Macaca fascicularis: one gene and its partners. Each later gene encodes a partner of the first gene's protein in a complex. Links are inferred from orthologs where the notes say so. Each region holds a gene or a part of one and is shown on either strand. Other genes may lie near its edges. The genes, in order: ITGAV, ITGB6, TGFB1 and ITGB8.

Evidence for each region.
Region 2: the proteins of ITGAV (region 1) and ITGB6 are in contact, whole or in part, in a crystal structure (PDB 9CZA), measured with the Homo sapiens proteins. The link is inferred for Macaca fascicularis from reciprocal best matches to the Homo sapiens genes ITGAV and ITGB6. Residues at the interface, in NP_002201.2 of Homo sapiens: Tyr48, Phe51, Lys72, Trp123, Leu141, His143, Gln150, Glu151, Arg152, Pro154, Asp178, Ala179, Phe184, Gln186, Phe189, Pro204, Tyr208, Trp209, Asp249, Tyr251, Tyr254, Pro274, Arg275, Arg278, Thr279, Met302, Ala303, Tyr305, Phe308, Pro328; in NP_000879.2 of Homo sapiens: Ser183, Pro184, Phe185, Lys187, Thr188, Thr189, Pro190, Ile236, Asp237, Thr238, Pro239, Asp273, Ser274, His275, Phe276, Gly277, Met278, Asp279, Lys281, Leu282, Ala283, Gly284, Val286, Pro288, Glu308, Thr311, Ile312, Gly313, Gln314, Ile316.
Region 3: the proteins of ITGAV (region 1) and TGFB1 are in contact, whole or in part, in a crystal structure (PDB 5FFO), measured with the Homo sapiens proteins. The link is inferred for Macaca fascicularis from reciprocal best matches to the Homo sapiens genes ITGAV and TGFB1. Residues at the interface, in NP_002201.2 of Homo sapiens: Asp178, Asp180, Phe207, Tyr208, Gln210, Ala245, Asp248; in NP_000651.3 of Homo sapiens: Gly242, Arg243, Arg244, Gly245.
Region 4: the proteins of ITGAV (region 1) and ITGB8 are in contact, whole or in part, in a cryo-EM structure (PDB 8TCF), measured with the Homo sapiens proteins. The link is inferred for Macaca fascicularis from reciprocal best matches to the Homo sapiens genes ITGAV and ITGB8. Residues at the interface, in NP_002201.2 of Homo sapiens: Tyr48, Phe51, Trp123, Leu141, His143, Gln150, Glu151, Arg152, Pro154, Phe184, Gln186, Phe189, Pro204, Trp209, Asp249, Tyr251, Tyr254, Arg275, Arg278, Thr279, Gln301, Met302, Ala303, Tyr305, Phe308, Pro328, Leu329, Met331, Ser335, Asp336; in NP_002205.1 of Homo sapiens: Ser197, Pro198, Ile202, His203, Pro204, Arg206, Ile250, Asp251, Thr252, Pro253, Thr287, Ser288, His289, Leu290, Ala291, Leu292, Asp293, Lys295, Leu296, Gly298, Val300, Pro302, Glu321, Ser324, Leu325, Gly326, Gln327, Glu330, His349, Trp350.

Annotation. Positions count from the first base shown.
Region 1 is NC_088386.1:82,260,742-82,263,453, reverse strand, and holds part of ITGAV (integrin alpha-V), read right to left. Parts: intron 2,199-2,712; coding exon 2,076-2,198; intron 1,805-2,075; coding exon 1,709-1,804; 3' UTR 1-1,708.
Region 2 is NC_088386.1:55,629,383-55,633,715, forward strand, and holds the start of ITGB6 (integrin beta-6), read right to left. Parts: upstream 2,949-4,333; 5' UTR 2,740-2,948; coding exon 2,679-2,739; intron 1,950-2,678; coding exon 1,870-1,949; intron 1-1,869. UniProt on the Homo sapiens protein: Integrin alpha-V:beta-6 (ITGAV:ITGB6) is a receptor for fibronectin and cytotactin. It recognizes the sequence R-G-D in its ligands. Internalization of integrin alpha-V/beta-6 via clathrin-mediated endocytosis promotes carcinoma cell invasion.
Region 3 is NC_088393.1:48,488,593-48,492,394, reverse strand, and holds part of TGFB1 (transforming growth factor beta-1 proprotein), read left to right. Parts: intron 1-2,433; coding exon 2,434-2,594; intron 2,595-3,802. UniProt on the Homo sapiens protein: Transforming growth factor beta-1 proprotein: Precursor of the Latency-associated peptide (LAP) and Transforming growth factor beta-1 (TGF-beta-1) chains, which constitute the regulatory and active subunit of TGF-beta-1, respectively.
Region 4 is NC_088377.1:109,882,991-109,887,383, forward strand, and holds the start of ITGB8 (integrin beta-8), read right to left. Parts: upstream 3,090-4,393; 5' UTR 1,972-3,089; coding exon 1,845-1,971; intron 1-1,844. UniProt on the Homo sapiens protein: Integrin alpha-V:beta-8 (ITGAV:ITGB8) is a receptor for fibronectin. It recognizes the sequence R-G-D in its ligands.

The DNA of each region.
Region 1 (2,712 bases):
ACTTTTGAAATTCACTAAAGCTAAATAGAGAGTCTTGTCTACAGTCCTACCTTGTATACCTCAACTAAATGTGCTCCTATTTTATGAATATTTTCTTAAGATTAGCTCAGTCATTTCTGCAGGAAATTATGAGATATGGCAAGGTAAATTTCAATTATTTTTAAAACACAGCAAAATAGTCAATTATTTAAGGGAAATACTTATCATTACCTAATGAGGACAGCAGTTAAAGAGCTATTAAACTCTCTATTTCTAATGCACAACATGATGTAATTGCACAAAAATAGGTATAATTGATCAGCATCCCCAGGCCTTGAGGAACTGTGAATAAATCATATATTCCTCTAGAAGGTTCACCACTCTACAGAGCCATATAAAACTACAACTTTCTACCTATGTGGCTTTTATTAAAAATTCTAGAAAATTAATTTATACTAACAAACTTCAGAAAGCTTTAAAAGGTTTTCAATAACTTGAACTGCTTATAAAAATTTTTTTAGAAGTTATTCTGATAGCTAAGACTGATTTTACACATTACCTTGCTTAAACAGGGGTAATATTCCTGTAACATTATGCTATTGCTAGAGGTAAATCAGTGAGTCACCTTAAGAGTTTTTATTCCAAGCATTACTCATAAAGTTGGGGTAAGGGGTCCAGGTTCCTGTCAACTGTAAGGATTCCTCATTGATATTGACCCATTCTCAGTAACAGTTTTGGAAATATAAGGAAAAATACATGAATGGGGGAAAATAAATTAATACTAACTAAAAACTCTGCTCTACTCTAAGAATGTACTACTTACTATAAGCATAAGCAACTATCTCAAAGAACTACATAGTATTTTAATAAAAATGCTTTTTTTATACTGTAAATAGCCAGACTAAAACAATGGAATAAATATGCTTTGAAAATAATTTCCAACCCCATATGGCTTTAAGCATTATGATATTCAGTTGAAATTAAACAATTACACAAAAGAGGCATTTGTGATTATGGAACTAATTTTTAGTATAGGTTGGCTTGAAGGATTTGACATAAAATTTATACAAGTTAAAATGTAATAAAATATTGTGGATTTAATATAAACAAAAGTGTTATAGGATCTACCCAATTTTCATATTAAAACAAAATATTGTACCTTTGTTATTAAAAGCAAGAATTTTGATGGTATCATGTATGTGTTTATAAAGTTCCACGATATAAGAGATTAAAAAAATCTAAATCTAAGTTCATGCAGTTATAAAGTCTTTAGTATCCTGAAAAGTAAACTGTAGTGTAATATGTATTAACATTAAGTACCTATACAAAAGACATAATTGCTGAGGTCCAAATTTGGACTGCTTTAAAACAACAACAACAACAAAAAATGAAATTCAATACATTAAATCAGAAACAGTAACTGAAGGAGGTACTATTTTATATAAAGTAGTAAATCAGGCACTATCTGTCTTATATACATTGAATAAAAACTATCCCTTGAAATTTTATTATTTAAATACCTAAAAACACAAGTCACTCTATGTTATTAAATGTATGTCTGAACTTATTTATCAGGAGAAGGTTGACAAATGCTCATTTCGTGGTGAATGCCAATTAGCACTATCAGCAGTAAAGCCTTGGATTTTTACTCCTCATGAAGAAAGTTTAAATCTATAATAAAGTTGCTAATTCTAGTGGGTCAAGATGTAGCATAACTTAAAAACTGCAGTTAAGTTTCTGAGTTTCCTTCACCATTTTCATGAGGTTGAAGTTGTTCCCTTTCTTGTTCCTCTTGAGGTGGCCGGACCCGTTTAAAAAAGCCCATCTGTCAGTTGAAGAAAAACCGTTATTACTGTCACATCAGTGTAGAATACGAAAAGTATTTTCTGAGTGACTATATTGCCACTAAGAAAATTCAAATTGTATTTCACAGAATTTATCTTCCCTCAAATAATAAGTAATGCTCATCAAGCATCATTCATTACAGGTCCCTTTCTTCCTTCCCTTACTTTTCATTCTTCTTTTCCTTCTGCCCTTTCCCTTTTCTTCTGTTTTCTCTCTCTCCTTCTTTGTCTCTTTCTAAGTTCGTTACTTACCCTGTACATTACAAATACCAAAACAGCCAGTAGCAACAATCCTGCAAGAACTGCTAAAATGATCACCCACACAGGCACAGGCATGGGTGCTGGCTGAATGCCCCAGGTGACATTAGTGGTAACCTATCGAGGAATAAAGATATTAGTTTTAAAAACAGTGCATTGACTTAATCAACAAATATCTGAGAAAATATTATATTTTATTTTAATGGAATTCACAGTATATTCTTTTCCTGCATATGATAATTTAGTGATTTCACATTTGGTATCAAGAGCATGCACATACACACATGAAACTCCCAATGACAGGTTGACTTCTGATTGCATCTGAAACGCAATCTTTTTTTAGACAGTCTTGCCCTGTATGTAGCCCAAGCTGGAATGCAGGGGCATGAACTCGGCTCACTGCAACCTCCACCTTCCGAGTTCAAGTGAGTCTCATGCTTCAGCCTCCCCAGTAGCTGGAATTACAGGCATGCACCACCATACCCAGCTAATTTTTCTGTATTTTTCGTAGCGAAGGGGTTTCACCATGTTGGCCAGGCTGGTCTTGAACTCCTGGCCTCAAATGATCCACCTGTCTCAGCCTCCCAAAGTGCTGGGATTACAGGTGTGAGGCACCACACCCAGCTTGAAA
Region 2 (4,333 bases), about 27 Mb from region 1:
GAAAGTGAGGAAGAAAAGTGAAAAAGATGGGTTAAAAGTCTGCTTTTCTGTGTGGGACACAGGAGTTCCACAAGGATAGCAGAGGTACAGTGAGATGAAGTCGTTCGCAGCAGAGATGTGGTCATTCAAATTCTGGAACGCCCAAAACAGGGAGATGGAGCTAACAGATTAAATACCTAACTTACCTGATAGGCACGACTGCTCTAGGGCGGGCATGACACTACGCAAAGGGGAACTTGTTGCCCATTGACTCTCATGCTTAGAGAAAACCAAACCAATGCTCACACTATTTTCCTTGCCTCTTAGAACTCCAAGCCACTCTTGCTGTTTTCATCAGCTAGGAAAGTTAGATTTCTTCTGAAATTGATTTTGAGAATACAATTTGTTATCAATCAGTAGGCCTGTGCATGTCTGAAGCTCTAGGCCAGGCATGGCAAACTGTAACTTCCCATGATGTCACTAAGGGAAACAGTGGCTGGCCAAGGCTTCAGAATCCTTCTCAACACAGTGTCATTGCTATCCCTCTAGTCATAGCCTTTGCCAAAAGATCAGAGGTGGTGTTAACCACATGACCTATTTTCTATCTGCCCTAAGCAGAAGCCTAATTTACTTTTTGCTCCAACTGCCTCAACTGGCATCCTCATAACTACTTCTAATATTAGAGTGGCCTCTTAGAATAATTTGACTTTACAATTTGACAACAATTTGGCTACCAAGTATTATCCACAAGTAAAGTTATCAGCAGCAACTTAGGAAACTCTTAACTAAATGCTGAAAAATGCATTTAAATGAAAATTCTAGGCTGATTTGTTATTTTATCTCTCTGGCATGAAACTAATACTTCTTCAGGAAGTCAATACCCAAAAACATGTGAATTTTTCCCTCCTTGTATATTCTCAATCCTGCTTTGATACAGGAACTCAAAAAAAGGCATAATTCTCTTGGACTTTTGTTTGTGGTCGCGTCGGTCAAGGCTCTGGTAGGGGACTGAGCTACGTTTGTGCTCTCCTGTCTTCATGGATACACACTGAACTCAGAGTTTGGGTTTCCACAGGTAGAACCCAGTTCTGAGTTTGGTGTTGAGGTGTTGAGGTTTCGCTGAACTTGGTATTTGTATGATTTGATTTATGTTTAGATTATCTTTATGAGATCCAGTGGGTAGAGACTTGTTTTAAAATTCAGAAAGCTAATGCCTGTCTTTCTCACCATGAATCAGTCAGACATCACTCTCTAGTGTCTTAGAATGGCTTGGTAGATATTCCCCGATCATCTTCACACTGATTTCACATAGTTTTCAGTTTGACCAGATAAGGAGTGCCTATTTGGAACTTTGTCACTGGCATGGTACAGAGTCACTGAGTTTATGAAAATGCCATTTTTAAAAGAACTGGATAATGCCTGACCAGTAATATTTGCCCCAAACTTAAAACACATCCCTCAGAACCTAGCAGTAGTTCAGAATGGATCCTAGTACCCAGATGGAATACAACTATGATATGAACATCAAATGTATGTTTAACTTTAGAAAATCCATCTCCATGATCTCTGATTATCCAGACAGCCTCCATATTTTATACGCAACCAGTTAGAAATGGCTTTACAATAAGAGAAGGAGTGAGGTAAAATTAAAAATCCCAAGTTACATATTTTTCCAAATAATTTGACATCCACTCCTTCTACAAATTGTTTTTGAAAGTAATCACATGAATGCCATTTTGATCTACCAATGCTCACCTTCTCCTTTCCTGATTTGTTTTACTCATACAATTCCACAAAAAAGCAATTCACTATCAGAACTATCACTGAGGAAATTAACATGAGTGTAACTGCAGACAGGTTTTAAAAACATGTTGAGGTCGTTTATTTTACCTCCTGAGCACACCAGGCACACTGAGGTCCAATGAGCAGGCAGTCTTCACAGGTTTCTGCACCTCCCAGGGCACAGCCACCTAGGTTTAGACCCAGCAAGACGCAGGGATTAAGTATACTTTCAGTCATTCCATTTATGAGACTGATGGCTCTTACATTACTTGAACAAAACAACATCAAAGTTTAGTTTAGTATCCAAGATCAGTCCTCGAAATGTTAGCAATTCACATAAAAGTTTGTATTTTACATCTATCACATGTAAAATATGTGTATGTGTATTAAAAAGTATGTATGTCTTATAAGCCAAAATTATCATCCTCTTTTTTCTTAAAATGTGAAAGTTCACAAATATAGGATTATCCTATTTATTGTTCCACCTTAATTTTTAAAAATTACATGCACCCATTAAAAAATGCTTCTTTCTTAAACGAGGTATTTCTGTTTTTGAAATAAATCCTTTCTCTCTTTCAAGATTATTACTCTTAAGTGGAAGATCTTGTGGTAGAATAAAATAGAAAAGTTTCAAAAATGGTTATCACAGTGGCACTAAGTTCCATTGGGCAGCAATGTTATTTAATTCTCCTCATTAAAATGCCTGTGCAACCTTTGTATTTATTTACCTTAAGCCTAGAGCATTCATTGTGGGAACTGCCCGGTGTTTGTCTGTAATTTGTTAAAGCGTTCACTCAGTGACAAAAGAGCAATGGAACAGATCAAATAAAACATGACTTCAGATCTAGTTTCTGAACCAAATGACAAGTTTGTCAAGCATACCACGAAAGCAATATATCGGAGAACGTAGGTCTTACCTTGTACGTGATCATTCCTTCCTAGAAATAGAAAGAACAGGCAAAGCAGTTCAATCCCCATTCGCTTCAGTTCTTGCTGTGCAGACCGATTAAAAAATGAATTACCTTCAGCGTTACAAGACCAAAGCTGAATATCGTTAAAGTCTTTCTTTCTTGAAGTGTAACATTTTAAATACTACTTACACTGCTTTGAAAAGAAACTTGAGATGTAAGTTAGAAAGTTTTCTTTAAGACTGAAATGAAAACAGAGGCTACCTGGACAGGTAAAGCAGAAAAGCTGTGTTTAAAAGCAACTTCAACATGATTTACTTCCTTGTTCGCCTTATAAGGAAGGCAGGTGTACAATCACCAAGAAGGTGGGGAAATTCATTCAGTGGAAATTCTGGTGTAAGTTCTATGAGTCTCTCTGCATCCTAGAGAAAGTTATTATCTTTAGTGAAATATTGATCAATGAAATGTCAAAACAGCAATTGAAATAGTCATTTCTAAAATAATTTTAACTTAATGTAAAGAATAAAGATATTAAATAAAGCATATAGCCTATATGTGGGGAAAGTAAAAAATGAGCTTAATGAAAATAACTGAGATTTTTGTATTTCATTGCTAAACCCTTTTCAAAAAATTGAAATGAACCCTGAAAAAGAAAAATTATTATTTTACAGTAAATGAGAAGGCAGGCTAGGGAAAGCAAAGCACTGTTTCCTTATTTTTCAAATTAGATGGCATATATTTTTCCATAAGTACGAAATTCCTATTTTAAAATGATATTGGAAATAATCATAATATACAAAAACCAAAGGAGATCAAAATAAGACTGTGTCAAAAGACATTGATGACAACAATGATGAAAACAGAAATGATGGTGCCCAAGATTCTGAATCCCTCAGGCTAGGGACCAAGTTCTCTTCACAATGTGCTGTTCCAACTTCTGGCTCATGATTTGGCACATAGGAGATATTTATTTGTTGAGTGAAAGAGTGACAATTTAACATATATATGATCTATGGCTAAATCCATAAGGTTGTTTGTATTTTTCCCCCAATGTGTTCTTCAGGAGGGTGTTTTGGGATTCGTAGAGTCTGTGAACAGATAAGAATCAAATTCTCACTTCGTCACTCTCGAAACTGCTGACCTTAGAGAGACTTTTCTGTGGCCAGGCTTATGTCTGAGGAGATAATCTTTTCAAGGAGCATTACTAGGTAAGCATGTGAAACCTGTAAACAGAGGGAAACGGACTATGGTCAACAATAATTTAATTGTACATTTAAAAATAACTAAAAGACTATGAATGGGTTGTTTGTAACACAAAGGAGAAATGCTTGAGGGGATGGATACTCCACTTTCCCTGAGGTGCTTATTACACGTTGCATGCCTGTACCAAAACATCTCATGTACCCCATAAATATCTATATACCCACAAAAATAAAAACTAAAATAAAATAATTTTTAAAATAAAAACCAAAGAAAGAGAGAAACTAATTATAGACTACCTAGGCTTTTCTCAGAAGCCTATGTTATGTTCAATTTTGAACTCCATCGTATCCAAGAAGCTGGAAAAACATGGCAAGAATTCTGCAGTAACAATCCAGAATTATTGAATAATTGGAAGATGTGCATTTTGGGAGAAAATTTATGTAAAATTAGTTGATTTATCT
Region 3 (3,802 bases), on another chromosome or scaffold:
AGCACCCTCCAACCCTTCCTTTCCCTCCTCTTTCTCTTCCTCCCTATCTGTCTTCCCCAGCCAAGGCTCTGCCTTTCCTTTGGGGTTTGCTGAGTAACCTCCGGGCCAAGAATAGGGCTTATTGGGGCTGGGTGGGGAGGGAGACTGGGGAAGAGGAGGAGGATCTAAGGGCGCCCTAGGAAGCGGTTTCCTCTGGCTTTCTCACCAGTCTCTTTTCACACCCCCACTATAGGAGGCTGGAAGCAGTTGCCCCAGTTGATCCAGGAGTTCAATGATGGCCTATTCCCTCATCCTCAACCCCAAACTTTTCCTAAACTAGAAAATAACTTGGCTGGGCGCCGTGGCTCACGCCTGTAATCCCAGCACTTTGAGAGGCCAAGGCGGGTGGATCACCTGAGGTCAGGAGTTCCAGACCAGCCTGGCCAACATGGGGAAACCCCGTCTCTACTAAAAATACAAAGATTAGCTGGGCGGGGTGGCGGGCGGCGCCTGTAATCCCAGCTACTTGGGAGTCTGAGACAGGAGAATCACTTGAACCTGGGAAGCGGAGGTTGTGCCACTGCACTCCAGCCTGGGCGACAGAGACTCCGTCTCAAAAAAGAAAAGAAAAGAAAAGAAAACACCTTAATTCCTTTTGTCCCCACTACAGCCGTTCCTACCCAGAATGAACTTCACTTTCCCTAACCAGCTGGGGAAGGGAGTTAAGGGTGGAAAACGAATAATAAAAAGTAGAACAATCACTTAGGGGATAAGAGCACAGTCTCTAGCTGGGTGGGTGCGGTGGCTCATGCCTGTGATCTCAACATATTGGGAGACTGAGGTGGGAGGATCCCTTGAGCCCGGGAGTTCCAGCCTGCAGTGAGCCATGGTTGTGCTACTGCACTTCAGTTTGGGGGACAGAGTGAGACCCTGTCTCTTGGTGGGGGGGATGGGGAAAAAAAGCACAGTCTCTGGAACTAAACAGCTTGAGTTTGAATCCCAGTCTGCAGCTATGTGACCTTGGGGCAAATTACTTAATCTTGGTGCCTCAGTTTCTCCATCTATTAAATGGGTATAATAATAGTATAAGGTTGTGAGGTTAAATGTCTTCATCTTTGTAAAGTGCTTTAAATAGCATCTGGTAAATAGCGCTGTTTGTGGTTTTTTTTTAATTGTTGTTGCTTTTTTTTCTGAGACAGAGTCTTACTCTGTCACCCAGGCTGGAGTACAGTGACTCAATCTCGGCACACTATAACCTCTGCCTCTCAGGTTCAAGCGATTCTCATGCCTCAACCTCCCAAGTAGCTGGGATTACAGGTGCCCGCCACCATGCCTGGCTAATTTTTGTATTTTTAGTAGAAATAGGGCTTCATCATATTGGCCAGGCTGGTCTTGAACTCCCGACCTCAGGTAATCCATCCACCTCGGCTTCCCAAAGTGCTGGGATTACAGGTGTGAGCCTCCGTGCCCAGCCAGTGCTCTTAAATGTATACATGATTGAGTGACCAGTGTATACAGAATTGGTGCCACATGGCTTGACCTGGGTCATCTAATTTCCCACTATAATCCTGGAATGGGTTCTAGAGTCGCTCTGTCTTGCCTTACAGATGAGCACCTGGCTCAGAGAGGAATTCATTTGCCCAAGGTTACACAGAGTCTGGGTGGGAGTGCAGGGAGCTTAATGTTATTGCTGGTTTTCAAAGAATAACAGGAAACTGACTTCAGAAAGAGGGTGTTAACTGCCCATGGTCAGACAGCCGAGAGGGAGCAGAGGCACTATCTGAGTCCAAAGCCTGTGCCCTTGATCCTTACTCTGCATTTTAGGGGCTCTTGCATTTGGGGCAAGGAAGGCCAGAGCAAACAGAGTGGTTCCCCTTAGTGCCAGCCTTAGTCGACTTGACAGATGATGCTACATGAGAGAGGAGTGTGGTTAGGACCCATTTTACAGAGGAGGAAACAAACCCCCAGGGGGAGAAACCACTTCTTCAAGGTCACACAGCTAAAAAGTATCACAGTCAGGGCCGGGCGCGGTGGCTCACGCCTGTAATCCCAGCACTTTGGGAGGCCAAGGCAGGTGGATCACCAGGTCAGGAGATCGAGACCATCTTGGCCAACATGGTGAAATCCCATCTCTACTAAAAATACAAAAATTAGCTGGGCGTGGTGGCATGCGCCTTTAGTCCCAACTGCTTGGGAGGCTGAGGCAGGAGAATTGCTTGAACCGGAGAGGCAGAGGTTGCAATGAGCAGAGATCACGCCACTGCACTCCAAGCCTGGGTGACAGAGCGAGACTCTATCTCAAAAAAAAAAATAAAGAATAAATAAATAAATAAAAGGTATCAGTGACTGACTCCACCCCAGAGTTGTCAGCTCCAAAACTCCTAGACTTGGGAGCACCAGCTCCCCTCACCTCTGCCAAACCCCTGATCACCTCCCTTCATTTCTCCCTGCTAGAAATCTATGACAAGTTCAAGCAGAGCACACACAGCATATATATGTTCTTCAACACATCAGAGCTCCGAGAAGCAGTACCTGAACCTGTGTTGCTCTCCCGGGCAGAGCTGCGTCTGCTGAGGCTCAAGTTAAAAGTGGAGCAGCATGTGGAGCTGTACCAGGTGAGGACATGAGCCAGAAGGAAGGTCAGGGCATGGGCTGGAGAGGGTGAGCTGTGACCAGCGGGGCGGCTGTGGGTGTGCTGGCTACAAGGTCCACCTAGATGGTCCCTGAAGGATAGAGGAATACAGACCATACAGTCCTAGGACTCTTTTTTTTTTTTTTTTCTTTTTTGAGACAGAGTCTCGCTCTGTTGCCAAGCTGGAGTGCAGTGGTACGACCTCAGCTCACTGCAATCTCCGCCTCCTAGGTTCAAGTGATTCTCCTGCCTCAGCCTCCCAAGCAGCTGGGATTACAGGCGTGCACCACCATACCCAGCTAATTTTTGTATTTTTAGTAGAGACGGGGTTTTACCATGTTGGCCAGGATGGTCTTGAACTCCTGACCTCGTGATCCACCTGCCTTGGTCTCCCAAAGTGCTCAGATTACAGGCGTGAGCCACTGCGCCTTGCCTTTTTTTTTTTTTTTTTTGAGATGGAGTCTTGCTCTGTCGCCCAGGCTGGAGTATAATGACTTGATCTCGGCTCACTGCAGTCTCCGCCTCCTGGCTTCAAGTGATTCTCCTGCCTCAGCCACCTGAGTAGCTGGGATTACAGGCATGCACCAGCACACTGGGCTAATTTTTGTATTGTTAGTAGAGATAAAGTTTTATCGTGTTGGCCAGGCTTGTCTCGAACTCCTGCCCTCAAGTGATTCTCCTACCTGAGGCTCCCAGAGTGCTGGGATTACAGGCGTGAGCCTCCGCACCAGGAATCTAGAGCACTTTTAAACATTCAGACTCTTTGCATCCTAGGACGTTAAACACTTAGAAGGCTGGAATCTTAGGAGTTGGACTCTTTAAGGACACAGGATTCTTGAAAGTTGGGATCTCTGAAAAGGTTGGGGACTCTAGAATCATGCTGTCCAATGTGACAGCCGCTAGTCACATTTAATTTTATTAAAATTTAAAGTATTTAAAATTAAATTAAAAATTTAGGGCCAGGCATAGTGGCTCACATCTCTAATCCCAGCACTTTGGGGAGCCGAGGCAGGCAGATTGCTTGAGCCCGGGAGTCCGAGACCAGTCTGGGAAACATTTTGAAACTTGGTCTCTACAAAAAATACTAAAATTAGCCTGTTAACGGTGATGTGTGCCTCTAGTCCCAGCTACTCAGTAGTCTGAGGTGGGAGGATTGATTGAGCCCAGGAGGTCGAGGCTATAGTGAACTGT
Region 4 (4,393 bases), on another chromosome or scaffold:
GAAACCTTTGTATATTGACAGAGACTGGGAAAAGGATGCCTTGTTCTGATTTCAGATAAGCATTCCCTTTTCAGGTCTGCAGGTGCAAGGAGGCCCATTCATAATATTTCCTTCAAATCAGTTTTAGACGCTGGGTAGAAATACAATGCTTTTTCACAAGAGCCTGACTAATGTTTATAAGCACAGTTAATGTTTTTTTTTAAATGTACTATAAATAGTAAATTTTAGAGGCAAGTGAGACTTTTTCCTTTGTCTATACATTGGGAACAAAATATACTGTTATAACACAAATTTTGGTCATTTTACTAGTGTGTGTGTGTGTTTGCTAAATCTAGAAAAGGACTTTATTACTTATTGAAACAGGATGAAATTATGCTTAGTGGAAAATTTGTTGCAACAAATGCATGCTTCTTCCATTTAAGAGATAACTGATAATGAATGTTACTTTTTCCTTTGCCTTTTCACTATTTTGAAATCAACAAACAAGCCAAAAAATAACCACAAGATCAAGAGATTTACTCTAATTTCTCCATTTCAGATAACTGAGCAAATCTCCCTGAAACAAATATTAGAAAACTATATATGCAACAATTTACTAAAGACAGCTGGATGTTTCCAAATGTTTTTATATATATATATATAGAGAGAGAGAGCCTACTTATAAGGTTATGACTTGGCTGCTTTAATTAGCTTCAGGCAAAAACTTGGCACATCAAAGTATAGGAGTAAATTTTAACCTACAAAACAATTACAACTATTAATTCAACTCTCCTTGAGCCTGAGAGGTCAGAGAAAGGATCTAATATAATTTAAGGACTTGGTGACCAAACAGACAAAAAGTGAAATTAAAAAAAAAAAAAAAAAAGAAAGTATGACAATAGTCACTGCATTGGCAAAAATAAATGTTGGGTCTATATTGAAAACCATTAAGAACTCATTCTAAACTCATGATTCGTCCTATTACTTAGTTGTATAATTTTCCAACAATCCAATCCGGTATACCACCTTACATTTGATTTTGTCTCATAAATCAAAAGTCCTGAAACACCTTCTCGTGTACTATTTGACTTGAACTTCCCTTTGTGATTTAGAGAAGGCAGGTATTATTAACCTCGTTTTACAGACGAGGACAATGAATTTCATAAAGAGTTAACCTCTCCACATCAAGGTAGCTCTGACATAAATGGTTTGCCTGGACAGAAAGCTGTCAATCCTGGTCCAGAGTTCTTTCTGCTTCTCTGTACCAGAGATGGATCTCTGTGAGGGATCAATTAGATAGTATTTTTTTTAAGCTGAAAGGATGGTGACTTAAAGCATGAATATCCCTCCAGTGTGGGTGATTCATTCAGATTGAGCACTAATGATAGTAGAAACTCGTATGCTGTCCTTTTCTGGACTCAAAAATTGAAGACTACTCCCATTATAACCAACTTATCTACAGCCTCGAGTTAAAGGCAAGTTAGTTGTTAGTGGACCCAAATGTTAGAAAGATGGGGAGAATATTCTGTACAGACGATGCCCTTAAGAATGGACCAGGGCCCCTAAATGACTTCTGTAAACAGGACACCCTGTCTTCCAAAATTCCTTTCTGTCAGGGCTTCCTCAACACCTAGGAGTAACACACAGTGCCTCCTCTGATAATTAGTCCTTGCTGTCGCTCCAGGGCAGAAATGCTTGACACCTGGCCTAGAGGCCATCTGTGCTAGAGGACGCTGCCACGCACCCGCCCTCTTGAAGTTCTCTGATGACCGCAACTTACCTGGCCGGGATGCTCTGGCTGGGCAGCTCTTCGTGCCAGCCCAAGACCTTTGAGGAAAAGAAGAAAACAAAACAAAACAACTTACCACCTTGGCCCAGTCCAAGAACAAGTGAAAGTACCCAGGCTGCCCAGAGGAACGAGGCGGGACCTCGCCGGTCGTTTTGCAGGCAGACAAATGCAGCGGTAAAAAAAGCCAGGGCCGAGCCGCACATAATGCAAAACGGCCCGCCCCGCGCCCGCCGCCTGGCTGCTTTCCGGACGCGCGCTCGCGCCTCCCAGGCGCACCTCGGGGCCCGCGGGCCGAGTGTCGCTAGGACGTTTTCCGCAGGCCTAGCAGGCTGACCCCGCGGCTCGGAGCAAGCGGTGCAGGTAAGCGGGCCCGGGCACCGCTCGGCATCTCAGGGCCCCTGCGGCCCTCCCAGCTTGGCACGGTGGGTCCCGCGGTCTCCGCGAGAAGCACCTCCTTCGACGGCCAAGGGCCCCGGCGGCGATTGGAGAGAGGGCTCTGCAAGGGCTCCGCAGCCTGGTCCGGGACAAAGAAAAGAGCTTTTGTTTCTCTCCAGCCGGTGGGGCTTCTGCTGCATAAATCAGCTTAGCGAAGAGCCAAACACAATCAAACCCAAACAAAGCCCGAAGCTGGGGGGGAAACCACCCTAATGTACATTCACTGGGTGATGCTGGATCTGTGGGAGGGGACGCCGGCGAGGTCGAGGGGAAAAAAGTCGATGGCGCATCAATCAGCGCAGTTTCTTCCACAGGTGGGCAGGGAGGCCAACTTCACTAGCTGCAGCTTTGCAGCCTTGCCTGCGGAGCAGCGGGCAAAGACAAGTCGGCAGCGTCCTGGCTGGCGAGGGAGGAAGCTCGGGATGCCAGCAACAGGGGGAGGCGACTCTGGGAGCTCCCTAGAAGCACCCGCCGACTCCCGCAGGCACAGAGCGAGGCATCGCCGCTCCCTGCCTGGCGGGGAGTGGGGCCCGCGGCTGCGAGCGCAGGAGGGGAGGTTCCGCTGGGTGCCGGAGCCCGGCTACGCGGGGCGGGGGCTGCTTGCCCTTGTCCTGTCGGCCCCAGTGCGCGGCTCAGGCGTCCCGCAGTCCAGAGCCCGAGTTGCTGGCGCGCTCTGGGGTGCACACGGCGAGGATGCGAGAGAGGCGAGGGCGGCGATGGGCGGGAGAGGGGTGGTCCTGCTCTGGCCCCCCGGGGGGCTTCAGACCTGCGGGTAGCCCGGTACACTCAGGGCAGAGAGTTGCTAGGAAACCTCCCCACGCTACCGGAGCGCCTCGGCTCGGCTGCCCGCAGGCGCGGCTGCAGCCCGGGCAGGAGCAGCAGTAACAGCTCCGAGCAGCGTGGGCGGGACATTGGTGAGGCATGAAGTCACCACGGCCCACACTCGCTCTTTGTTTTGCTCACTCCAGCTCTTTTTTTCCCCCCTTGGCTCTGATAGTTGCCATTCCCATCGTTCACAAGAACTCCTGAAGCGTAGCCGCGCAACAGGAATGGCACGCCTCGTTCCCTTCTCCCTCCTCCCCCGAATCCTTGCACCCCAACGCTCGCGGGGGTGGTGGGAGACTCGCTCAGCGCCAGCAGCAGCTGCGAGCAAACCCCAATCTCTCACCCCCGCGCTGCTCGCCGCTTTGTTCGGAGATACTCACTGCCCCGCAGCTGCTGCATACAAAGTGGAGTCAAGGGACCGCCCCTGCCCCCAACGCCCTCTACTCAGCACTTTGCTTGCAGTTAGGAGCTCGTCCTCTGCCCCACCACAAGGCTGCCCCGGTCTCCCTAGCCTTTGGAGAGTTGGACCAGTCTGCAGGGGCTGTTCCCGGAGCGACTGGCCGAGATTTCTCGCTGCTCCTTCCCTACTCAAAACCTTAACCCTGGGCTGGACAGCCCTGTTTTTCCCCAGCGTCTGGTGGTGGCTCTGGGCTTTTGCAAGTTACAGTGGGTCTTTTGATCTTAAGCGTCACCTTCCCAGTAAACGGAACAAAGAAGTTACAGACAGCAGCTAAGTGGGGAGAGGGGAGCTGAGGAGAGAAGGTGGGAGGCGTTTCTGCCTGCTTGCAGCTCAGAAATTTAGGTGCAAGTAGGATGCGGGTGTTATGCTGGGCAACTGTCCGGGAAGCAGCGCGCCTCCTCGGGTCCTGTCATTACCACTCTAAGTCGAGGGAGGGAACTCAGTCCCCCGCATTGGAAACGAGGCAGTGTTTCCAGTTCAACACTGTGATGGTTCTCTTTTCCCTCTAGGGGCAGGAGTGATTCCCAGTCCAGAAGTTTGACCTCTTATTTTAATACAACACCCGCCTCTTACAGGCAACAGACCAGTCCAGCCAGGTCAACGTGAAATATGCGGGAGTTTCCCCCCTTCTTATTTAATAGTTTCCGTCTCCTTATTTTTAGTTAAAAAAAAAAAAAAGGTAGGAGGCGTGCTCTCTCTCTCTTTTTCTTTCTGTTGACTGAGTGAATGGAAAGTACCTGGTTCATAAACCACAACATCGAAACTCCCCCTTTCAGGTGTGGACTGCACAGCGAGGTGCACAGAATTAGTTAAGCAAACCAGGAACCCAGCTAGAAAATTAAACGCGCCCTGGATCTACAAAGCAGGTCCCTTCGAGAGACCAAAGCCGTGATCCCAACCTTAGC